4 linked regions of the Drosophila melanogaster genome follow. The gene in region 4 interacts genetically with the main gene of each other region. Each region holds a gene or a part of one and is shown on either strand. Other genes may lie near its edges. The genes, in order: Pp1-87B, mts, CycA and png.

What was found.
Region 1: of png (region 4) and Pp1-87B, changing one suppresses a phenotype caused by changing the other (phenotypic suppression), as found in Drosophila melanogaster (one study listed by BioGRID).
Region 2: of png (region 4) and mts, changing one suppresses a phenotype caused by changing the other (phenotypic suppression), as found in Drosophila melanogaster (one study listed by BioGRID).
Region 3: of png (region 4) and CycA, changing one enhances a phenotype caused by changing the other (phenotypic enhancement), as found in Drosophila melanogaster (one study listed by BioGRID).

The regions. Positions count from the first base shown.
Region 1 is NT_033777.3:12,422,771-12,427,828, forward strand, and holds Pp1-87B (protein phosphatase 1 at 87B), read right to left. Parts: upstream 3,148-5,058; 5' UTR 2,919-3,147; coding exon 2,010-2,918; 3' UTR 1,841-2,009; intron 1,747-1,840; 3' UTR 851-1,746; downstream 1-850. Other genes in the region: CG17202 (uncharacterized protein), read left to right, coding at 89-100, 163-696; NANS (N-acetylneuraminic acid synthase), read left to right, coding at 3,842-4,177, 4,284-5,058. UniProt on the Drosophila melanogaster protein: Is essential for the regulation of mitotic chromosomal segregation as well as regulation of chromatin condensation during interphase.
Region 2 is NT_033779.5:7,826,021-7,833,918, forward strand, and holds mts (microtubule star), read left to right. Parts: upstream 1-1,629; 5' UTR 1,630-2,031; coding exon 2,032-2,133; intron 2,134-4,441; coding exon 4,442-5,005; intron 5,006-5,448; coding exon 5,449-5,639; intron 5,640-5,713; coding exon 5,714-5,786; 3' UTR 5,787-7,556; downstream 7,557-7,898. Other genes in the region: Rack1 (receptor of activated protein kinase C 1), read right to left, coding at 1-316, 750-961, 1,041-1,149.
Region 3 is NT_037436.4:11,827,267-11,835,305, forward strand, and holds the start of CycA (cyclin A), read right to left. Parts: upstream 6,313-8,039; 5' UTR 5,803-6,312; coding exon 5,608-5,802; intron 4,981-5,607; coding exon 4,787-4,980; intron 4,717-4,786; coding exon 4,461-4,716; intron 3,579-4,460; exon of another isoform or gene 3,371-3,578; coding exon of another isoform or gene 2,351-3,370; intron 2,295-2,350; coding exon of another isoform or gene 2,169-2,294; exon of another isoform or gene 1,983-2,168; intron 1,924-1,982; exon of another isoform or gene 1,764-1,923; intron 1,419-1,763; coding exon 1,195-1,418; intron 1,127-1,194; coding exon 922-1,126; intron 852-921; coding exon 604-851; intron 540-603; coding exon 386-539; 3' UTR 1-385. Other genes in the region: CG7264 (uncharacterized protein), read left to right, coding at 2,169-2,294, 2,351-3,370; CG43064 (uncharacterized protein), read right to left, coding at 7,981-8,039. UniProt on the Drosophila melanogaster protein: Essential for the control of the cell cycle at the G2/M (mitosis) transition. Interacts with the Cdk1 and Cdk2 protein kinases to form MPF. G2/M cyclins accumulate steadily during G2 and are abruptly destroyed at mitosis.
Region 4 is NC_004354.4:1,355,861-1,359,423, forward strand, and holds png (pan gu), read right to left. Parts: upstream 1,742-3,563; 5' UTR 1,674-1,741; coding exon 798-1,673; 3' UTR 628-797; downstream 1-627. Other genes in the region: CG11417 (uncharacterized protein), read left to right, coding at 1-550.

The sequences.
Region 1 (5,058 bases), on a different chromosome or scaffold from region 4:
GCACGCAGCCCTGGCTTCAAGGGGGCTTGACTTTGGCATTTTTCGAAGTTGCGCCCACAGCCACACCGCACATCTCCATTTTGCAAAGATGTCCTTTAAGGTGAGCTTTTGTCCAAAAACTGATTGCCATTGGCTAAACAAGAGTCTCCCGCAATGACACAGCCCATTGACCCGAAGCGCGACGAGATCCGGCGCTATCTAGAGCGCGGCAGCGTCCTGGACTCGCTGACCAAGCTCTTCATACGCGTGATCAAGGAGCGGCCCGAGAATCCCATGGACTACATCCGTAACCACATCGGCGTGGTGCGCCACCAGCACGACAAGTACGAGCGCCTGCAGCAGGATCTGCAGCTGGCCAACGAGGAGATCCAGCGTCTGCGCGCCATCATCAACGGCATCAATCCCGACGTGCTCCAGGGTCATCAGCCAGTGGCTTCAAGTGAAGTAGTGGTCGCAACGGAGGCGCCACAGACCGTGGCCGAGTCCACTGAGGCGGCGGAGCAGCAGCAGCAGCAGCAGCAGCAGGAGAACGGCGAGACTGAGCTGGAGAAACCTAACGAAAGTTCGGCGGACGTTGCGGAGATAACTGCCGCTGTGGAGGCCTGCCAGATTGAGGGGAACTCGGTGGTGACCACCGATGAAGCCGCACAGCCAAGCCCAACCGTCCAAGCTGAAGCCAGTGGCTCCAGTGAGTAGATCTCAGATGACAGCAGCACGTGCCAGCACACACCAAACGTAAAAACAAAAACATCCCATTTAGAACGCATTCATTTAGAAGAAATGTTAAGTATTTTCCGGAATTTACATGTAAATAAAGCGAAATAAAGCATGAGCGCATGCAGCGTATTATGGATTTTTCAAATGTGTTTATTGAAATCAGTTTCATAATTCATACACGTTTTATATCATTTGTTTATTAATACAAAGGATTATTGATAATACATATTAATAATAGTTAATTTTTAAAAAACACATCCTTAAAATGACGGGAAGCGGACGTTTGAATAGCTGATGAATGGTAAGGAGTTTTAGGGACAAACTAATATATTTCGCTGATTTTCTTGCAGATATTTCTCTGGCTGGCTGGCTGGCTGGTCCATTCGGTCGGACTGCATTGTGGACGAACAAAAAAAAAACTGATTCAAGGTCGAAACTTAGTGCTTATAATTCCTCTTTATACTTCTTGGCAAGCATTCGCCTCCACCTCCTCGGTTCAACGATTTCCCCTCTTCGATTTTTTGTTTCTTGTTTTGTTTTCACTTGCTCTATACTCTTAAGGCCAACGAGCACTACAGGGCCCCCACATCTGTATGCTTTGTGACCGACTGGCGTCCAGTCGCTCCTCTGCTGCTCCGTTTCCATCTAATCTGCATGGTTATGCGCTTGGTGCTCTGCTCGAACGGTCAGTTGATTAACCTAGTGTTTAAATTTTGGACAAAACCTATAAAAGCGCTGGTGTTCAAATGTGTGTACATGTGTGTGCGTGGGTGAATGGTTGGTCGGTCGGTAGATATACATATATATATATATATACGGGGGCTATTACAAATAAATATGTGGCTTTTAATCATGGTATTTGTCAATGTGTTTGTAATTGCGATTTAAATCTCAATGGGTGTGGGGTGGAAGGGGAAAACTGCAGTCATCTGCTGGAAGGGATGTCTCTGGGGATGTCCTTTGATCGTGGCGCTGCTATTCCATACCAAATTAATGGTGCAATTTCTTGTGGATTTCGACTCGCCCCGGCTGCCGATGATAAAAGTGACCAAAAACAGAGATAAGGTTGGGGTGAGAGTGTGATTCACTAGTTTGTTACTCTGCGTCAGCAGCCCATACTTACGTTTCATGCATCATTTGATGTGTTGTTTCAAAGGATTTTATTTCTGGTTGATTGTGTGGTTGGGTTTGTGGTTGTTTTTGTCGTGTTTATCTTTTGTATCTTGTTTGGATTTCTTATTGATCTGTTTTAGATAGAAAAAGACTGCTCGTGGTGCTGCAGTTGTGTGATATTACTTTTTACGCTTGTCGGCTGGCTTGAGGATTTGGAACGAGCACATCAGCGTATCGTCCACGGACATCATGGCGCCGGCATTGTCGAACTCGCCGCAGTAGTTGGGCGCCGAGAACAGGGTGACCAGCATGCGTTTGGCAAAGAACTCGTACCCATCCTCGACGACTTGATGGGCTCGGCAGATGAGATCGAACTCGTGCTTCTGCAAAAACTTGGCCACCACCTCGGCACCGAAGGTGAAGCTAACGCCGCGGTCGTTTTCGCCCCAGCCCATGGTATCCTTATCGGGATCGGACCACAGGAGATCGCACAGCAGTCCCTGGTCGGGCACATCGGTTGGCCGCATAATGCGACGGATCTGCTCCATGGAGGTCAAATCGGGACTGAGACCACCGTGGCAGCAGAAGATCTTCTCGTCGACAATGGCCGCCACTGGCAGGCAGTTGAAGCAGTCCGTGAATGTCTTCCACAACTTGATGCTGTAGCGACGCTTGCATTCGTCGTAGAATCCGTATATGCGATTAATGCTGGCGCATTCGTGGTTGCCGCGCAGCAGGAAGAAATTCTCCGAGTATTTGATCTTGTAGGCGAGCAGCAGGCAGATCGTCTCCAGCGATTGCTTGCCGCGATCGACGTAGTCGCCGAGGAACAGGTAATTCGATTCCGGCGGAAAGCCGCCGTACTCGAACAGACGCAACAGATCGTAGTACTGTCCATGGATGTCGCCGCAGATCTTCAACGGTGCCTCTAGCTCGAGCAGAATGGGCTGCGACAGGAAGATCTCGCGCGACTTCAAGCAAAGTCCCCGGATCTCGCCCTCCGAGAGCTGTACGTTTTTACCTGGCCGTGCCCCACGCACCTCGAGAAGTCGCGATATTATGCTGTCGATATTCATCACGTCGCCCATGTTTGCGTGCGAAAGTGTGGATCTGGTGCACTAGTGCTGCTGTTGGGTGTCGAGGTTACCGCGAACGATCGTTGGTAGCGCCGAAATAGCCTCGAAATCTTTAATTTCCGAAATCTATTTCTGCTAAATACTTTTCACAGCTAACAAGTATGAAAATTTCTTCGTATGCTGTTGCGTGAGTGCGGGCGGGATGGCGAGTGTGCTTCTAGCTGATGTTGCCACACTGCCGGAAGTCGCGGATATGGCCAGATAATAGACGCCATCTTATCTAATCGATAACATGCAAATATAGTGCATAATCGATAACGAAGTTGCTGTAATATTACTCTTATTACATTAAGGACATTTCCAATCCATTGCAAGAGTTCCGCAATAGCTCTACTTTTATATTTTCATTCGAAACGGGTCTTCTCGACCCTATAGTGGCTCGAAACTGCTGTTAGTAATCGATTAAACGCATGGCGTCCAGTTACTCTATTTCAGCGGTGTGGCAGCCTGATCAGGGGGACACTAGCCATCCCGCTTGCACTCAGGCACGCCTGGCATGACTTACTGTGGAAAAGAGATGGGAGACTGATGCATTTGGCGAGGCTATTCGATATACCGGTAACAAGGGGATATTTAAATACATTGGAAATTCAAATAAGCCAATAAGAATATTCGTTTACAGAACATAGGTTAATTCATTTTCCTTATTGGAATAACTTCCACATGAGTTATGATTTAAAATGCCAAATTTCCCTTAAATTCTCACAAAACTAAATAATATATTGATAGATATATTAACAATCACACTATGTAAAAATTTTGTATGAAATGTGCTCATGTCTTGTTATCGATAATTCGATACTCTATGCATTTCCTGCCTACGCCCGCTAATCATTTAATTAACTGTTAAATAGGCGGGTTTCAATTTAATCAAAATGCTGTTAAACGATATCATAAGCGGAAAATTAGTTGATTCCGTCTATATTATAGCGGAAATTGGCCAAAATCACCAAGGTTGTGTGGAAACAGCGAAGAAAATGATATGGGAGGCCAAAAAAGCCGGTTGCCACTGCGTCAAGTTTCAAAAATCGGATTTGCCAGCAAAGTTTACGAGATCCGCTCTAGATCGCGAATATATCAGTGATCACGCCTGGGGAAAAACGTACGGGGAGCACAAGGAGTACCTGGAGTTCTCCAAAGATCAGTATCTCCAGCTGCAGGCCCACTGCAAGGAGTTAAATGTGGACTTTACGGCTTCCGCCATGGATGAGGTTGATATTAATTAATTGTTAACCAATTACTACTACTAACAATTCCTTTTTTCCCTTGTTTCTTGCTTAAATAGTTATTAATGTGTGTATATGCTATTTTAAACAGAGATCGTTGGAGTTCCTTTCTGCTCTAAATGTTCCCTTCATCAAAATTGGTTCCGGAGACGCAAACAACTTTCCGCTTCTCAAAAAGGCCGCCAATTTGAACTTGCCCCTGGTGATCTCCACCGGAATGCAGACTATGCAAACTGTGGAGAGGATTGTGCAAACTATGCGGGAGTCAGGAAAAGAGGACTACGCTCTAATGCACTGCGTTTCATCGTACCCAACTGACCCAAAAGATTGCAGCTTGCAGTTGATATCCGTCTTAAGGACACGCTTTCCCAATGTGGCAATTGGGTACTCGGGTCATGAGCTGGGAGTGATCATTAGCCAGGCCGCCGTCTTGCTGGGAGCACGCATAGTGGAGCGCCACTTTACGCTGGACAAGAGTCAGAAGGGCTCCGATCATCGCTGCTCCCTAGAGCCGCAAGAATTAAAAGCTCTGACTACAGCCATCACCAACTTCAAACTCTCTTCAGTTCCCATGCCTCCACAAGAAATAGTTAAAAAGTTAAATGGAGATGAGGAACTAGAGGCAGCTCTTCAGCACGTTGAGTCTAAAACCATTTTGCCGTGCGAGCTGCCCTGCCGAAATAAACTGGGCAAATCTATTGTGGCAGCTAGGAATCTCAATAAGGGTTACAGGTTGCAATTGGCAGATATGGCCATTAAAGTCAGTGAACCCAGCGGCCTGACAGCGGAGGATTTCTTGGACTTGGTAGGCAAGGAATTGGCAGACAATATTGGTGAGGATGAACCCATACTTGGGAATAGTATAA
Region 2 (7,898 bases), on a different chromosome or scaffold from region 4:
TGCCACCTGAGGTGCACAGGGAGCCATCGGGCGAGACGGTCACCGTGTTCAGGTAGCCGTTGTGGCCGTGGTGGTTGTTCTTCAACTTGCAGTTAGCCAAGTTCCAGACCTTGACGGTGCGATCCCAGCCGCAGGACACGATGATCGGGTTGGAGTGGTTGGGCGAGAAGCGCACGCACGACACCCAGTCGGTGTGGCCATCCTCCTGGATGGTGAACTTGCACTCAGCCAGGGTGTTCCACAGCTTGATGGTCTTGTCCCGAGAGCCGGACACGATCTGACGGTTATCGGCCGAGAAGGCAACCGACAAAACGTCCTAGAAAGCGAACAAGCATTTGACGATTAGCTAATGGTATTGGTATGGTTTTCATAAAAATAATATATTTACTGGATATTTCACTGACCAACTGAATGGGCATAGTCCCAACTCAATTAGTCAGTGAACGGAATCCAGATGGGTTTCTTGCAACTAATTAGGAATCAATGGGTATCAGAGATTGTTTGCCTACTTACGATGGAGCTTCAAGCAATTTATAGCCGAGACTCGAGCGAAGGGTGAAGCGTACGTCGTACAGATGTCAACCAGTAATTCTGCCTCGCATAGGCGCAATATATATTTTTTCGATTTGTACGCGGCAAAGGCGGGCCTAACCTCACTCCTAACCTTACATTTAGCCTTTTGCCGGTACAGATCGGTTCAAAATCTCAGTTCCCTAAACGAACTAAATGCAATTGGAATCTTATCCCACCTTAGTGTGTCCCTCGAAGCGACGGGTGGTCTTGCCGGCGGCCAAATCCCACAGGCGAAGGGTCTGATCCCAGGATCCGGACAGGGCGTAGTTGCCATCGGAGGAGAGCACCACGTCGCTGATGAAGTGCGAGTGTCCGTAGAGACGCTTCTGGGGGTAGCCGTAGTTGGTGTCCTCGTCGCGGGTCAGCTTCCACACGATCAGGGTCTTGTCTGCGAATCGAGATGGTGGCCATTAATATACGCACGTGCTACCAGATAAATCCGAAGAATTTCAATGGCGATTACTTACCACGGGAGGCCGAAATTATGGTGTCGGGATCCTTGGGGTTGGTGGCGATCTGGGTGACCCATCCATTGTGGCCAATGAGGGTACCGCGCAATTGCAGGGTCTCGGACATCTTGAGTTTATATTATTTGCTACGGAGCGCGAAGGAAACACGTCCAAAGGCGCTGCAAGCTGGCAGAAAAAGAGGCAGTTCCGGTTCCAGTGCTCGCTAAGATGCCAACTGTCAGCGAGCGTTCAGTGTTGGACAGGACAAAACTATCGATAGTTTGAATTTTCTGTTACAAATAATACGTGTAAAATGTAACGTCAAATAATAATATCAAAAACTTTAAAATATATATAAAAAAAATAAATACTTTTACACCAAGTATTAATATTATTATATCTAAAGAACCCCAGAAATATTGAAGTTTAGTTTTAAAACAAATTGTGCTATTATTTAAGAAATAATCGACGCTAATGCACATCTATGAAAAGACTACTAAAGGATTTTAAAACAATCCCAATATCTTGTTGCCCAAATGCCTATGTACATACTTTTATTTTGTCACTATCACGTAATAATGTAAAAAAAACGGTGAGCGTTGATCCCACTTTATTTTCTAGTTTTACTTGGTAACTGTTGGCCAAATAGTAAGGATACCATCCACAAGTTTTAGTCGGTATTTTTGTAGAAATGTCAAGCATGCATCGCTAATCGATACACACACACACAGCGCGTTCTTAAGCGTTTCGCGGCAATCGGTCACACCGAGGGCAGTCTTTCCCTTCGTATATCGTGTCGTCGTCTCTTTTGTGAACAAAAAATACGAAGAAAATCGCCCAAATCGAGTTGATTCGATTGGCAATTGTGTGGAGATAAACGAGTGAATACGCGGTTGGCAATCGAACGCAACAGTAGTTGCTAATTTTCCTGCACCCCTGAGTTATAATAAAAGCCGTCAAAATTGAATCGACAAAGATTGACGAGACTTTTTCTTCCACCACAACTGCGATGGAGGATAAAGCAACAACAAAAGATCTTGATCAATGGATTGAGCAGTTGAACGAATGCAATCAGTTGACAGAGACACAAGTTCGCACCCTCTGCGACAAGGTAAGGCCCGGTCCTTGCCCATTTTCCCCATGCGAATTAGGAGATGTTATAAAAATAATTTTCGTCATTGCATGCGAGCGAGCGATTTTTTTTTGCAAATGGTGCTCCAACGCTGCGTGTCTCTGGCCCTCTCGCTCTTTCCAATGGGGAGAGGCGCTGAGCGGAGAGCGCGAGAGCATGATTCATGTCGTGCCCTCTTGCTCGCACAGTAGCGGCGGCTTGCGTCGCCATATTGGAATATTGGTAAATTCCAACAGCCAAGCGCCGCATTGCCGCGCACAAGTGCGAGCGGGACAACGGGACGGGCAAGTGCGTGCGTGAATGCGACAGCTAGAACAGCGCTTTGGTCTAATGGGCTAAACCTGGGCAAAAAGAGATATTTCTTTTTGTATTATTGTACAATTTGATTGTTTAACTAAAGTGCATTGTGCGTGTTTAATGTTGTTGTTATTGTGTCCACCGGAAACTGAGCACCCCCGCTCCGTGCAACCTCATGCGCGTTTTGTCGTTGCTGAGTAAATATTACTTAATGTTTTTGTGCGTCGGTGTGTGCGCGCCCCTAGAATATGTATCTATGTACCGTCGTATCTCAATTCTAGAATAATGCACTTGCATTGGTGTTTGTGTTCCTTTTTTTATGACCAACCATGTTCAATTAAACACTTTTGATATCAATTGTTTTTAATTTGCCGATTTTACCGTTCATCAGGCGCGTCGCGCACACAAACAAACAGACAAGCAAAAAGAGTGCAAGAGAGGGAGAGAAAAAGAGAGGGTGAACAGATAACGATTCATTGATTTAGGAGTAAGTGGGGTTATGTTTGCGTCACCCAAATATTTGTCAGTGTTCCCATTAGAATCTTGAATCTCCGTTCTCCCTCCGAGAAGAACGTTCTTCGCTCTTCTCGGGTGCGTCTTCTGCGGCCTCTCTCCATCCTTCCCGTTGCTACGAAAAGAAAAGCGGAGAGTACGCGGAGAGAGCACAAGCTGCATCAGTGTTTGTGCATGCATCTGTATGGGTGCGCTGGCCTCGTCATGAGTTCAAAAATTATTTTTCTTTTTTTTTTTTTTTCGATTTCTGGCCAAGCGGAAGCAACAGCCTCCAAGGTAATGCTGTGCATATGGCAAAAAATCTAATTGGCTCACGCACAAATCGCTCATTTGCGCCGCCGGATTCTACCCCCGGAACTTGTTGTCATGTCCCATTTCGTCAGCTGATAAATATAAGAATTCGCAAAGAACACGGCGGAATGGTCAAAATAAATGTGCAATTTTTGTTTGCTCATTTTGGCACATTTATGTTTGTAAAAACCGGTTTTTTTGATGCTGTATATTGACGCCCATCGGGAATTTTTGAATCGACCTTCATATTTTATTTTACTAAAGACGATAGAATACTTTCCAGAATCGTGAATTTGTTATGTTTATACGGACAACTTTTTATCGTACGTTCATCTTATCTCAACTTATTAAAAAGCTTTGCTTCCTTTGTTTTGATTTTCATACAGCTTATATTAGCAACTTAAACTTGTTTGCAACTGACGCAAAATTCGATGAGAAAATAGTTGAGGTTCTTCGCTTGTTGACCAAATCTTGACGGATAACCTTGGCCTTTGACAAGGTTTTATCATCCGCACATGCGGATCACTTTCGGTTTTCTCAGTACTTTCTGTTTCGCAGATATTCTGTCATGTCATTCACCATTCACCGAATTATGGCAGGTGAAAAAATAGAACATCAAAGTTTCCATATTACTTTCATTTGGTTAACTATTTACACACAAACGTAACAAAAATGTTTTGTAATTTCCGGAAATTTTGCTACATGTTTATGTTTTTCTTATAGGAAGTAGCAATGTTTAGGTACACAGTTTTATAGGGTTTTGCGGGAAGCTATTTTCAGAATTACCCAAGAGATTGAGTTTTGATGCCATTAAAATTTCTTGTGGGATGTTTAAAGAGAACAAGTGATATTTATTTCCCTCGATTCTCTGTAAAAAAACGCATGCACTTATCCAATATATTTGTTTTAATTTCTCTTCTAGTTACAAGCTATTTTTAGAGTACACTTTGAGTGTTGGCGTTGAGTCATTAAGTATAGTGAATAATGTACAAAGTACTAATCGTTTTATTTATCTTTTCTGACCCTGGAAACGATTTGGGCTAGATTATGTTAATCAGTATTTTAATATTGGTATTCAAAGTTGTTTATTCGGTTATTCGAATAGGGAGGTAACATTAAAACGTATCTCCCTAAAAATATCCATAAATAAATTGCTGATTGGTCTACTGTTTCCATTTCTTTACAGGCCAAGGAGATTCTCTCCAAGGAGTCCAATGTGCAGGAGGTAAAATGCCCGGTGACAGTGTGCGGAGATGTCCACGGTCAGTTTCACGACCTCATGGAGCTCTTCCGGATAGGCGGCAAGTCTCCGGACACCAACTACCTGTTCATGGGCGACTACGTGGACCGTGGATACTACTCCGTGGAGACCGTGACCCTTCTGGTGGCCCTGAAGGTTCGCTATCGCGAGCGCATCACCATCCTGCGCGGTAACCACGAGTCGCGCCAGATCACACAGGTGTACGGCTTCTACGACGAGTGCCTGCGCAAGTATGGCAATGCCAACGTTTGGAAGTACTTCACGGATCTGTTCGACTACTTGCCACTGACGGCACTCGTCGACGGGCAGATCTTCTGCCTGCACGGAGGCCTCAGTCCCTCGATCGACAGTCTGGATCACATTCGGGCCCTCGATCGCTTGCAGGAGGTTCCGCACGAGGGTCCCATGTGCGATCTGCTCTGGTCCGATCCCGATGACAGGGGTGGCTGGGGAATCTCGCCTCGTGGCGCCGGTTACACCTTTGGCCAGGTGAGTGTTGTCTGCATGTTGGCTATTTCTCAATAAAATTCGGAGCTGATTTGCCTAGCTTGGATACTTGGAAATTTATTCTTTAATCACATTGTAAAATTGTTAAGTGAAATACATCTGAAGACCCGATTAAAACTAAGCTGAACAAAAATTGTCTGCTCAAAAGCATGCAAATATATTCTAGATAAATTTTTTATTGATCTTAATAGGAAATTTTATCGGGGCATGCACTTGATGAAAATCAATAATCAGTAATCGAAGTCTACTGCTGATATAGGCCCAACTGATAACGCAATCAATGGAAAGAGCTTTCGTTATAAATTGTTTTGACATTTCAAACCGTCAACTACAAAACAAATTTTAACTATCCAAATCGAATTTCATTGAGAAAGAGCCAATTACTTCTATAAGCATTTTTACTAATATTTCCATTTTATTTGAAGGATATTTCGGAAACCTTTAACAACACAAACGGCCTGACACTGGTGTCGCGCGCCCATCAGCTGGTGATGGAGGGCTACAACTGGTGTCACGATCGCAATGTGGTCACAATATTCTCAGCGCCAAACTATTGCTACCGCTGTGGCAACCAAGCGGCTCTTATGGAACTGGATGATTCACTTAAATTTTCATTGTGAGTGGCAATTCGCTTGAGCTGCCTTTAAATGCGGCATGTCTGACTAATCTAATCGTTTGCATTTATTTTAGCCTACAATTTGATCCAGCACCCAGGCGCGGGGAGCCTCATGTTACGCGAAGAACACCCGATTATTTCCTTTAAGCTGGATTGCTCGCACCTACGCAGCTTACATTTACACATATTACATCGCATTATAACAACAAGAAGAACCGAAACAATATATAATATATACAAATCCAACCAGCAGCAACAAAATAAACAAAATGGCAAGTGCTGTCGAAAAAAAAACTACCATAAAAAACAACCCAAAACTAAAAACCTCGATGCATTTGTTTTGTGGAGGTCGTTTTAAACAGAGAGCAGTGGAAGAGATATTGTATAAACAAAGAAAAAAAAAGTAACCATAACAGTCGAGAACACAAAAATGCATTGAACAGTTATTGTTGTTGGCCACAGTTTAAAAGAAAAGGAAAAAACCGGAAATGTCGCCAGCGGGGGCGGCAGGCAGAAAATTTATATCAAAGATAAAGGGGAGGAGCAGAAGGAGAAGCAGTATACAGAAATGATACAATCCAATCGAACCTACCAACCAACCCAGAAACCAAGCAACAAAACCGCAAGCAACAAGAAGAACTACAACTACTTAGCTAAATTTGTTAATTTATAAAAATAACGAACTAAGCGTCGCAGCAGAAAGCCAGGGAGCAGGAGTGATGGATGGATGGACTCATGGATTATGACGTGATGTGTGTGTGGGCGGAAGGGGCTGACAAAGGACTAAACGGGACGAAAGGACGAACGCCAGGACGTAGCAGCATAAGCAAGCAGCAGCGGTAGCAGCAGCAGAAGCAGAAGCAGACGACCCACGACCGACAAAGCAGGAAGATAACGATGAAGCAGCAGCAAAAAAGTAGGAGCAGTATGTGGCAGGAGCAGCAGCGAACGCCATTGCGATGGGGGAAGCGCGGGGCGGGCCAGCGATTTATATAAAAACAAAAATTATAAAAAAGAAAATAAGGAAATACAACAAATTTAATATTACTGATTAAAATTAAATAAAAAAAAGCGAATAAAACTATTAAAAAACAAACAAAAAAGCAAAGAAAAATGATTAAAAAAAATTCATTATCAATTAAGTTCATATGTAACTTTAATAATAATAAAAGAAAGAAAAAAAAAACAAACAAACAATTCCCACCTGCCGACGAAGAGAGCCATCGAAGAGCGCGCGTTCAAGGGAGAAAGTCCTTTAAGAGAGACCCATGCGAACGATTTTGGTTTTTCGTTCTGGCAATGACGCTCCCTTTTGGCCTGCGGGCTCCTTTGGTAGTGTGTATGCGAACATGGCCAAGTTAACACGAGGCCACCACGACGAGCGGAAGTCGAGCCTCAAACGGGCCACCTAATTGAGACCACAAAGGAGGCGATATGGGTGTGGGGGAGGTGATATATGGATGGATGGCAGAGGGCAGATAGAAGGGACGGAGGTCGTGGTGCCAGCCAACCAATGATGCCCAAGTCAAAATCTAAATCAGAGCCGGGCTGCCTTTGATTCCCAGCGAAAGCGAAAGCAAAAATCTTGCCAACTTTGTATAAATTTTTGCATATTTTAGCAGCCGCCCACACGAACTGTCAAAAGTCATGTACAGTGGTCGCTCTCTATTGTTTCTGTTTACAAAGTATTTTGGAAACTATTTCGATTGGATTTGATGTTCCTGATAATTTAGTTGGTTATTTAACTTTAGCATACGAATGAAAAGTATATTAAGAGCAAGAAAGTAAACGATATATAAATAATAAACATTTGGCAATAGTAGAAACCCTAGAATATATGGATTATTCTGAGATAAGCAGTTCGTGCACCGCCAGTTGGCACTGTATCCACATGAGTTTTGGTCTGGATGAAAATCTAAATTTGAGAACATGCTGGATCGAGGATGGGGACTCTCAAGTGCCCAAGAACTTGGCGAGCAAACAACCATACCCATACGTACACCTACCGAGACTTGTCATCTATCATGCCCCAACAAACCCGAAACCAGAACAGGAGCTCCACAGGATGCTGGGGGGAGGTAATTGTCGCCCTGGCTGCTGTGGAGAGGCCATGGAGTTGGGGCTGGATTTTCAGTTGTAAAAGAGGGGAGCGTGGAGGGGGGGGGGTTCAGTTGGAGGCCCTGGAGCAGATTGTATTTGTCGTGCAGGCAGCGACGTCGACGACGACTGCGGCGTATGCGACATGGAAAATCCATTATC
Region 3 (8,039 bases), on a different chromosome or scaffold from region 4:
TAAAATATCGTTAGCATAAGCAGCACTAATATGTTGTGTCCGGTGGCTTCCTCCAATTTCAATTGGCTAATCGGATAGTTTTTAAGACTGCCGAAGTTCTTACTGCTCCCGCTTGGCATGACAAGCTCTCACCGTGGACAGACGCGAATGTTGTTAAGCGCGTATATTTTGGCAACTATCTTTTATATGGCTTACATATAAAATTGTCCGGCACTTGCAACGGGAGCTTGTCAATCGGCCAACCAATGCGAAGCTTTTATACGACTGGCTGACTGCGACCGAACTGCAATTGATCCATTGTGTACACTTATAACTAAAACTACATAATGTTACATGGAAACACTAAACTAATATACAATTTGGCCATGACAGCGGCTCAAAACACTTAAAACTTATAAAACAAATTCACGTTCGATTTAGTATTAATATCCGGCTGCTGGTGCTCATCCTCTTTCTGCTTGCAATTGTAAGCCTCACAGAGCTGATCGAAGTCGTCCTTGCTCATCTCAACGGATTCCATCATAGCCACCTTCTTGTAACTGTTAAGAAATACATTTGGTCAACACGGGCTCATTCTTCGGCTATCTAGTGTTTGCGACTTACGTGTCTCTATTGTACTTTTCCCGCATGGCCTGCGTGTTGAGCTCCTTTGCCGTTTTGTGGGTGTGACACAGATGCAACACAACCGTTTTTAGGTCCTCCAGCTTGTAAGTCGTGATCTCCTCCAGCCTTGGCGTCCACATCTCCATGCCCAAAATGTGACGCGCCAGTGCGACTGAAGCGGATGACATAAGTGATGGCAAATATTGCAAGTACGTTTCTCCCTCCATGAGCGACAACTCGGAAATATACTGTGTCAGGTAAACATTAAGTTAAGTTTCGGCTTTGTTTCTTTTTTCTTTTGTATTGGCAATAGCTTACCAGCGTCATGTACTTCAGCTTCTCAGGCATGTCGCAAAGTACAGCATAGGTGTTGATGAAGACGTAAGCAGTCGGTGTGCACAGATCGAAGGAGAGAATCTTCAAGATAACCTGCTCCATGCGTAGCACCTGCGCCTTGGTGTAACTGTCGTCGGTGAGGAAGACAAACTCACCGACCTCTGGGGGATAGATTTCCTCGTATTTTCTGAAAAATAAAAAAATAAACCCCATGAATACACACACCATTATTACCGGACTATCAAGAATACTTACGCGGCAATATACATAGCTGCCGTGCCCACCAGCTGTAACTTGGAGCGCACCACCGCCATTTGGCTCAAAAATCGATCTAGATAAAAGACCGAGAGATAGAGCGTCTCCGTGTCCAGTTTGTACTCCTCGGAAACCTCAACCAGCCAATCAATAAGGATGGAGCGCATATTGTGGCTAATGTCCTTCTGTCTGCGCATATAGAGTGGCTTGGGGCGATGTTTCTTCTGGAAGATGCAAACACATGCAAACAAATGATTAGAAACCGATTAGATTACCCGGCCTAACAAAAATTACTAAGCCAAACTTTTAATACTTTAGGTTAGGATTCGCATATATATAGCTTATGCCTTTTCTACACTCTAATCTGGCAACCAACTACCCGTTCCCAGTTTCATCTTAAGAAGGTGTCAAAAATGTACAAATTTCACGGGAGAAAAAGCCGTACAGTCATCAAATCAAGCGTATAAATACCATAGGAGAAGTGGCAAACAACAGCTGGGGGAGGGAGTTAACCGATTTTTATTTATTTATTGGTTATTTCGTAGTACGTGAGTCGCATCGAAATTCCCAGTTCGAACTTAAATTTCTTTGCCAAACACCTACATATATGTACATATATATGGGCAATATGTACATTAGGTGATTATTTTATGGTCGCTTTAACGATTATTGGAACCGTCAAGCGACTCGAGCTGCAAAAATTAAAGAATTCGATTGACATGAATATATGTACATACATCAGCATTTGTTTTATATTAAGGCAGTTAACTCCCATGAAATTATTATAGATATATGTAAATAGTCTGTAACTAGTAGGTTACAGAGGTAGTAGTAGAGGCAAACAATAAACAAAGCACCCAGCAACCGGGCAAACAAAGTCAACTCAGGCATATATCCACATCCTACTAACAAGAAGAGACAGACATATCGACCTCGAATACAGTTGAACATCTTTTATAACTAACTCCGGCACAATGACGCTCAAAATCGGTATATGCACCAAGCAGGATCTCGACGAGGCGATGAAGCTGCAGAAGCGGGAGCAGTACGAAGATGAGCGGAAGCGGCGCATTTTTAATGCCAAACAGCGTCTTTACGGGGTAAGTATGCATCTGCAGACTGGGTGAGCTTCATTGCCGAATATTCCTATTCACAGCTCGACCTAGAAATGCTGGATCGCCAAATACTTGAGAAAAAGAAGCAGCGAACCGCCCAGATGGAGTGCGACAAGAAATTTGAAGAACAGGAGCAGCTGCAGAAGCGTCTGATCCTGGCCCAGGAAATGGAGTTGGAGAAAAAACAGCGTGTGGTGGACTCGGATCTTAACTATTATCGCTGCCGCTATCAGCGCAAGGAGCAGCGCCGCGAATTCGACCTAAATGATCCGAATTTCTTGAAGAAGGCACGTCCAACAAGAGTCGCCGACAATGACATTTCGCTGGGCGTGTCCAGTGCCCAGATCTTTCAAGGCGAGGACCTCTATAACTCTGACAGAAAGCAGCGGCAGCGGGAGCAGCAAAGAGCCTGGCTGGATCAGCAAGTGCAGGAGCGTAAGAGGGCGGAGGATGCTCGCAAGCAGGCCGATAATGTGTTGATGGACAACGTTGGTTGCAGAGACAAGCATCTGCAGGAGATGGCCAAGTCTGATCACCAGATGCGCAACCAAGTCATCCAGCGAGTGCGTCAGTTCAATATCAACATGGCCAAGCAGAAGCAATTGGACCGCGAAAGGGAAAAGCGTGAAAAGTACGAGGATGACATGGCCGAGATCTATAACATGCTCTCCAGCGATATGCTAACTGAAAATCCGGATGTGGCTCAATCGCGCACCGATCCGAACAAGAAGATTGCCTTCATGTATCGCGGCATGACGCCCGAAGAACTTCGCGTGTTTCGTCTTGGACAAGATCAGCAGCTTCGTTTGTCTATTCAGCGCAAGACGGAGGCCCAGATGATGGACAAACAGTGGGAGCAATACTCCATTAATATGGACCGCACCCTGGTCCTTCACCAAATCGAGGATGATCGCCGACGTAAGGCGGAATTCGATGAGCTGATGCGGGCGAATTCCAAGTTGGCCGTGGAGCAGGATCGCCAGCGCAAGGAAGCCCTTGTGGGCCTAACCAATGCCGTCTCCGATGACTTTTACGATCAGTTCAACAAGAACTCACGTTAGTGGGATTGTATTGAAGTTCCCAACCAAGACGATTCGAGAATAATGAGCTGGATGCGATTAGAAAGCTGCCTCACTTTCTTGTGCAGCAACTTTCCATAGGCGTCCAGAACATTGTACTATTTTAAAAATACAATCTTTGTTGGGAATCTTCACGACGAAATTATAATGTTCATGTTGGAAACAAAGCATTTCAAATATTTAAAAATTTAAAAAAAAAAAAAGACAAAAACCCATCTCTAGTAAAAACTGAAATATCAAGGGAAAATAAAGAATACGCCCATTCTGGACAAAACCTAATCCTTGTGTTGTTGTTTTGTATTATTTAATGTTGTTTTCGAGTTTTGTAATTTAACTATCGATTTTAAAATATTTTTAAATTTTTTTTATTTGTTTTGGTTTTCTAGTTTTTTAAATTCTTTATCAATTTTAAAACTTTTTTGGTTTTAATTTTTTTTTTAGTTTTTAAACTTATTTTAATTTTTAATCTTTTATTTACTAACGTAGGAAACAAACTACAATAGTAGTCAACCTCCCTCTGCAAGTCGAATTCCATTGGTACCCCGAGTGTTCTACGACTTTGGACGAATGAGAAAAAGAGAGTCAACAACAACGACAAAGGATGAGACGGACGCAGACAGACAAGCGTTTCGCTTCCCGCCCAACAAACATGTGCCCGCGAGCGGGAATAAGTGTACCCATGAACCCATAAAGAGGCAGCGTTGCGTGAAGGGAATGCCAACGGAGGGTGCGACAGGGTCCGACTTCCCCTAAGAAATTACGTCTGCCTGCGTCTGCACAGAAAAGTACAATGCACATGGCCAAGTAAGTAGTAACACATTGAAAACGCAAGATACCTTGGGAAAAAATTCCAAATTTATGCCAGAAAACATGACTGCAATACCCTGGAAGATAATCAAGGAAAACTCGACCTGATAAAAGTTGTCCACTTCAGTTACTAGTTAAAAAATATCATTGTCTTTGACAATGATTACGCGATGAAAGCGAGTTTGTGAGTTTGAAATATTTTTGTGAGGAAGTCATCTAATAATATCATATTGAAGCCTATGTTTATGTCCCTGGTTTAGCTTACCTCGCTCTCCCGGAAATATTCCAGAATGTCCATCTGGTACTGAACCACTTCCAGGAACCGCTGGCGATCGTTGCGCGGCGGAAGCTCCTTGACTCTTCCAGTTGGCGAGACTCCCGTTTCAGTGCCCACGCTGATATCACTGGACTGTATGACACCGAGAATGGAGCGGTCCACGGACATGGGGGACTGAACATCCGTCACGGACATGGGTGTTGAATCCAGATCGTAGTCTACCAGCTCCTTCTGCCCAGCACCGCTGAATGGAGTGAAAAAAAAAACAAACAAAAGTTTGTTTGCGGCTTACCAAGTGACAGATGGAAACTTACAATTTCACGTCATGGTTCTCTTTGTCGACTAGGGAGGCCAGGGATTTGCCGGATGGCGCAACCTGGGTATCGTTGTTGTCCTCATACACGGAGAAGGTCTTGAATTGCTCCACCACGGGCACCACATTCGATTTCTTGGCGCCGTACTCCACATTCTCATCAACATTAAGATTTCTGACGTCACGGAAGACCTGCTGGAAGGAACAGAAGACGAAGAAGACAAATTCAACAATATGGTCAACTTACTATATTAGGTAATAATTTTATATTAGGTAATATTGCAGTGGGATTATAAAAGTAAAAACACAAAGATAATTCCTTTTACATATGCATCCTTAATATAGTAAGCAAAAAAGAAATAAAATGATTATCCCCCCCCATAAATCGATCCAACTTTAAGTTGCGCGCCTTTCCCTGGCTTCCCGTATTGCTCGTGTGTGTGTGTATGTGTGCACCTATACGCATGTGTGCGTTGCATGTCGCAATTGCTTTTGCCCTCCTTGCTTCGCTTTGTTGTTGCAAATCATCAAAAAGGCGCGTAATTGCAAGGCCTGTGTCTTTTTCTAGGTTAGTTAAGGTTCTAGGTTAGGCGCAAGTAAGTGCATTGGTCGTTCTAAGAAGAGAGTAACGTAAGATGGAGAAGTGAAAAGGATGGGATGGTAGGGGAGAGGTAAGGGAGAGAAAACCACCACCACCACTAGGAGATCTCACACATGCGCACGGTCGCAGTGGTGTGACGATCCCACCACCATAAAAATATAAAAAGGCAGCTGCATTGGAATTAGGCACTGGATGTACGGGAAATCGGCAACGGTACTTACAACTTTCCCGGCCGGACGCGGCACATTGTTGTTGCCATTGAGCACGGCGAAATTGGCCCGCGGCGCAAGCGCATTTTTCTCCGCTTTTCCCCCAATTACGGCCAGCGGCTGCTTGGTGTTCTTCACTCCGGCCGGAATCTTAATGCCCGGATTCTCCTTGTTGCTCATGTCTTGGTGGATCTGGAAACTGGCCATGGTGCGCTCTTTCCTACTCCTTTTTTCGCCTTGTAAAATGGAGTCCGATTATGCTCTGCTCTTCCCTTCCTTCTCTCTTTCTCTTAGCGTCGTTGCCTTCTTGCTGTTGTTGTTACTGCTGCTGCCGTTGTTGTTGTTTTGTGCTGCTTTCTTATGCTCGACGCTCACACCGATACGCACACATTCACAGGCTCATATGCTCAACGAAGACGCAGACATGTGTACATTAGGCGCAGGCAAATTTTATCATCGACAAATTGACGCTTGAATTACACGCACACACACAGTTTTGTACAGAATTCATTTGACTTTCAATTTCGTACGGAAGTTTGTGTCACGGCAGCGTTGGAATTAGTTTCCTTGTTTGGCTACGCTCGCACGGACTTAGCTAATATTAAGTATTTTACAAACTCCGTACTTGTTCAGCGGTTCGTGGTTTAAAAGCAATTGCTGGCTTCTTTTGATTTTTTCCCGGTCAACACGTCGTAAATGTTAGAGATGACACTGTCCAGCTATCGATAGGTCGTGGCGTCTATCGACATTTGCCGACAGTGTGGCCATATATGTCAGAAGTTTGTTTTTTAGGACTGGCAACTCCAGCAGTGCGCAAAATTTAAAAATGTGTATAACGTTAATTTTTATTTTTGCCGAAGTCCATTGTTTTTGCATAGTTTTTAAAAATGAGTGCATATTTATTTAGTTCTAAGCTTTAGAGATCAAACCAATAATACATATTAAAGGTTTATAAAAAGGGTTTGGAATAAGTTCTTCATGGGTTTGTAAGCATTGTTTTGAAGTTAATCGAATATATATGTATTATATCCATATATATAATCCATATATTATGTCCACGGTAATCGCTTAAGTTGTTATTACTGTTGCTTTGATTAAGATTAAGAATTCACTGCAAAGCGAACTTGACAAAAATCAATTAAACAACTGTTTATCAAAATATAATTAAATAGAAAGCGTAATGTTTTTGATGAAATGTTTAAATAATCGACGTATTAGGACACTTGGAAAAATGTTTAGGTTACAATTAAAAAAAATGGCTAGGCTTTTGGACTTTCGGTCTCGAGTGGCTCCAAAAATCGTTTCTGTCCCAGAAATAAATCGAAACAGGAAAAAAAACTTTTCCCCTTTTCGAAAGTCCTTTCAAACAAAGTGGCCGCTCGAAGTTTTGAACAAATTATGAACTGCATGCAACAGAAAGTACACAATTAACAACAACCACCGCGTTAAATTTAAGAGCAGCAACTCTCTAATTAACTTTTTAAAGAGCTTTATTTCGGCTACTGCGATTATTATTATTTGGCTGTCAGTGGAAAACCCAAAAAAAGTTAAGCGAAACTTTTTCTTTTCAATACGCCTAACGATGCTACCCATTTATAAAAAATATGTTAGTGTAAATACAAAAGTATATATATTTATCAATTCGGATGACTTTCACGATTAGAAAGATATAACGAAATACGCCATACGTCTTCCCTATGAATTTCTAATGGGAGGGGCTGTGAGATATTTATAGAAAATACAAATATAACATTCATTATAATAAATAATAGGTGAATTTGTTAACAGTTATGGTAATTGTTTTGATTTCTAATCTTCTTAAAAAATATGTATCCTGATTTCTTAACCCTTTTAAGTTTAAGAATATAACAACATAACGTGGTGGCTTAAATATTTGTCATAACTATTAAATATGTATTGTTTTTGACTTAATTCAGCATTGTACATACATGTATGTATGTATGACTCTTGCCACGATTATTTTGTGAACGGAAGAGTATGTTTTCTAGAGCAGCTGCGCCTCCCTAAGAAAATAAAGAAAAGGTGTATCGGATTTTGCATTGTTTTGCACGAGACATTTCGCAACTGCCGGCCTAAAAACTAAATCAGTTAGGAACCCAAAGAAGTACGAACACAATGAGCTAACCAACATTCTGATCCTGCACACAAATGCTGACCTTTGCGATCTCGATGTCCTGGAGACCAGGTAGCAGGACAACCGACTAGCAGTTACACAATTGTATAATATCGTTGGCCCCAGCAGCTCTGGAAATATACATAAAATACCTTACAGGGTCAAATAATAATTACCAATATAGTAAGGCAATATTTGGCGAAAGTCAAACGTTTTTTTATTAACTAACAAAAAATGCTGTTCGTTTGTAATTAATCTAATTCATTAGTATCTTTGTTCATCAATATGGGACTCTTTAAATAGCCGTTAA
Region 4 (3,563 bases):
CCCTAAAACGAAGCAGGACAAGAAGAAAAAGAAAAAGAAGGGAAAGGACGATGGAGAGGAGGACGTCGAGGCGAAGCGGCAAGAGAAGGAGCTTGAGCTACTGCTGGACGATGGCGACGGGCGCGACGAGAAGCAACACTTCAGTCTGACCAAAATCCTCAAGAAGGAGGAGCAAGAAGCGAGCGGTTCAAAGCGAAAGCGTCGTCAGAAGTTAAAGAAATCGAAAAATCAGCCGCAGAATGCGGAGAAGCTGGACGACGACTTCCAGGTAAACCTGAATGATAATCGCTTCAGTGCCGTTTACAAGTCGCACGAGTACAACATCGATCCCACCCACTCCCATTACAAGCCCACCAAGGGCATGCAGCAGATCATCGGCGAGAAGTTAAAGCGCAGAAAGGAGCAGGGGGAGGGCGGCGCTGCAAACGGCGATGCGGATGGGGATGAGCAGGTAGCCCCCAAGAGGAGTAAGCAGCAGCTGGAGCAGAACGCCCTGGTAAAGAGTCTGAAGCGTAAGATCCAGCTGCAGCAGCAGGGCCAGAAGCTTTAGAGGATTAATGTTACTGTACAATAGGTGAACAAATGTAAATTAAAGACTACGTTAATGACATTGAGCGAGACTGTTTTGGAATATACATTATATACTGTTTATAGCTGACAGATCCCCTGGCAAAAGCACAGGCGCACACAAAGCACAGCACACACCTTAATTTATCGCTTAAGCTAGCCTAGTTCTTAAGTACAATGAAATATTTGTTGAGGTCTCCTCGTGCTGGTGAGCTGACCATTGGCTTCCGTTAGTAGCTGTAGCTGAAGTAATGCTTGTAGAGGGTCACAGTCATGCCGGCGTCGAGGTGGAAGATGTCTGGTAGGCAGATGCGGCGCTCCTGCTCGTAAACGACCATCAGCTCGCAAACTTGCGCCCACACGGGATCGTAGAGACGCCGGATGAGCTGGCAGTCGAGCCGGGGGCGGACCAGCGCCTGGACTACGGTGTGCAGTAGGGCAGGGGTGGCGTTCTTGTCGAGAAACGCGGCGAAGGGGCTGCGTCCGAGGCACAGCTCGTAGAGGACTAGCCCCAGTGACCACACGTCCGACTTGAAATCCACCTTGCCCTGGCTGGACATCGCCTCCGGGGCCATGTACATGGGCGTGCCCATGCCCGCCTGCAGTTGAGTGCTGGGCGCATGAACGTTCGCGATCCCAAAGTCGGCGATCTTGACGCGGTCGTTGGCGTCGAGGAGCATGTTCTCGGGCTTGATGTCTCGGTGGATGACGCAGCGGATGTGCAGGTACTCGAGTCCCACTACCATGTCGCGGAAGTAGCCCATCAGCCGCTCCTGATTGACTCCCCCGGTGCCTGACGGCAGCTGCTGGATGACATCCCTCAAGGTGCCGTTGGGCACGTACTCCATCACGATGTTCACAGTGCCCGCGTGGCTAAAGGAGCGCAGGAACTCAACGATGTGCGGGTGGCGCAGCTGCGAGATGATGTACACCTCCTCCTTGATCAATCCCAACTCTGTCTTCGGATTCCGGACGATGATCCGCTTCACGCACACCTTCCTCTCCGGCTGTCCGCGCACCTCGTTTTGGTGGCAGAGGAAGACCCGGCCAAAGGTGCCCTGGCCCAGCACCCTTACCGCACGCAGCTTAGAGTCACCCAGTTCCATCTCGAGTGCGCAGAGTTCCGAAAGCGTAATCCGCGATCCCGCCTTGATGTACAGTTAGCCAGCAAAAGCGCAAGCGCGCCATCTATCGATTGCTTCGAAACAAGAGATGCACAGTTCCATCGGAAAAAGCCGAAAACTCGGAACTTCGGAAACCCCATATGAAAATTGCTCATCTGGCCAGCAGCAACAGTGCTCAATGAAAGTAAGTTATTAGAGTCTGGTTAATTAATCAAACTAACGCATCGTGAACTAACCCCATTCAAAAAGTCCATCCATGTGAAAAGTATGACTATCCTAAATTTTTATTTATTTTATTTAACAAAATTAAATATAGTATACAATACTAAACCTAATTAAATTTAATGAGTACTAGCTACGGGGGCCTTCGACTCGAGACTTATGGGTTAATTGCTTTATATAATAAACTTAGCTTTTTGGACAAATTTGTAAATTTTTGAGATATTTTCACAGGATGGGATACTTAAACAATTCGAGAGACTATGTGTACCAAATAAGTGAGATCTAATTGAGTGCAATTGACTGCAGGCGTTGAGAATATGGTCAACGGTGAGCTCGTCCCCGCATAGTTGGCATGTTGGTCGCGCCGATCTCATCAGTAAGTGTTGATGTGTGGATTGGGTGTGCCCGATGCGTAGACGGATAAAGGTCGCGCATTCCCGTTTATGTACGTTCGTTGGTGGCTTGAACATGATGCAATTCGGATTGATAGACTGGTACCTGTGCATGAAGAGTGCCCATTCGGAGAGTTTCTTTTCTTTGAGGTATAACTTGATTCGACTTTTTAGGTCCTTGGAGTTAAACGGAGTGAACAGGATTGATGGTGTAAGCCTCATCTCTTGGGCGGCTTTGTCAGCAAGTTCATTCCCATGAATACCTTGATGACTGGGAACCCAGAGTAAGGTGATTTTTTTTGGGTGAGAACTTAGAATGTGCCTAACTTCTTGTGTTGTGGGGTCATTATGGTTCCAGTTGCGTATAGCGGAAAGAGAGGAGAGGCTGTCTGTGCAGATAACAGATTTTCCAGCGTTTTTGGAAGCGAATTGGCATGCTTTGAGAATGGCGAAAGCTTCGGCTGTAAATATGGAGTTGTAGGACGGAAGCCTACCTCCTGCAATTATTTTACGGTTAGAGTCAACAACCGCAAAAGTAGTTGCGCCGGTGACTTTAGAACCATCGGTGTAGATCCAGTTTTTCACACCAAGATCTTCTTGTGCGCTCATAAAACGTTTTTGGTATTCTAGGCGACCTGTATCCTTTTTGGCAGCATTGTATATTTGAAGGTTTATGTTAGGCTGTTTGGAACCCCAAAGTGCTGGCGATTTGAAGGGCCTCCTGGGCTTAGGCAGGGGAAGGTCAAGTAGCTTGATGTAGTTGGCGCAACGTCTTAGGGTGGATATGCACTTGAATTTCCGTTTTTGTTTAAATATGGCTCCGAAGTCTTTGGTTAGCAGGCAGTTTGACGTGGTGTACAGCTTCGGGATAAGCATCAATGTAGTTTCTTCTACGCGTGATTGGATACTCGGGAGACCCGATTCTGCCAATGTGCACGCTACTGGAGATGTGGGAAATGCGTGAATGGCGCGACGGACCGCTCCGTGATATGGGACTTGTAGCTTTTTTAAGTGTGATTTAGCACACCAACCGAAGATTGGCAGTCCGTAGTCAATTTTAGATAGCATTAAAGCGCGCGTTCGGCATTCCACAGTCTTCGGGTGGAGACGTGTTTCTTTCAAGCTACGAATAGCAAGTTCTAAAAACTACAACAGTATAGTGAAAGTTAAACACAAAGTGTAAAGTGCAGTTTGCACAACTAACAATTATTGACTATAGTAATTATTTACTAAAATAAATAATTATTCCATATTGTTC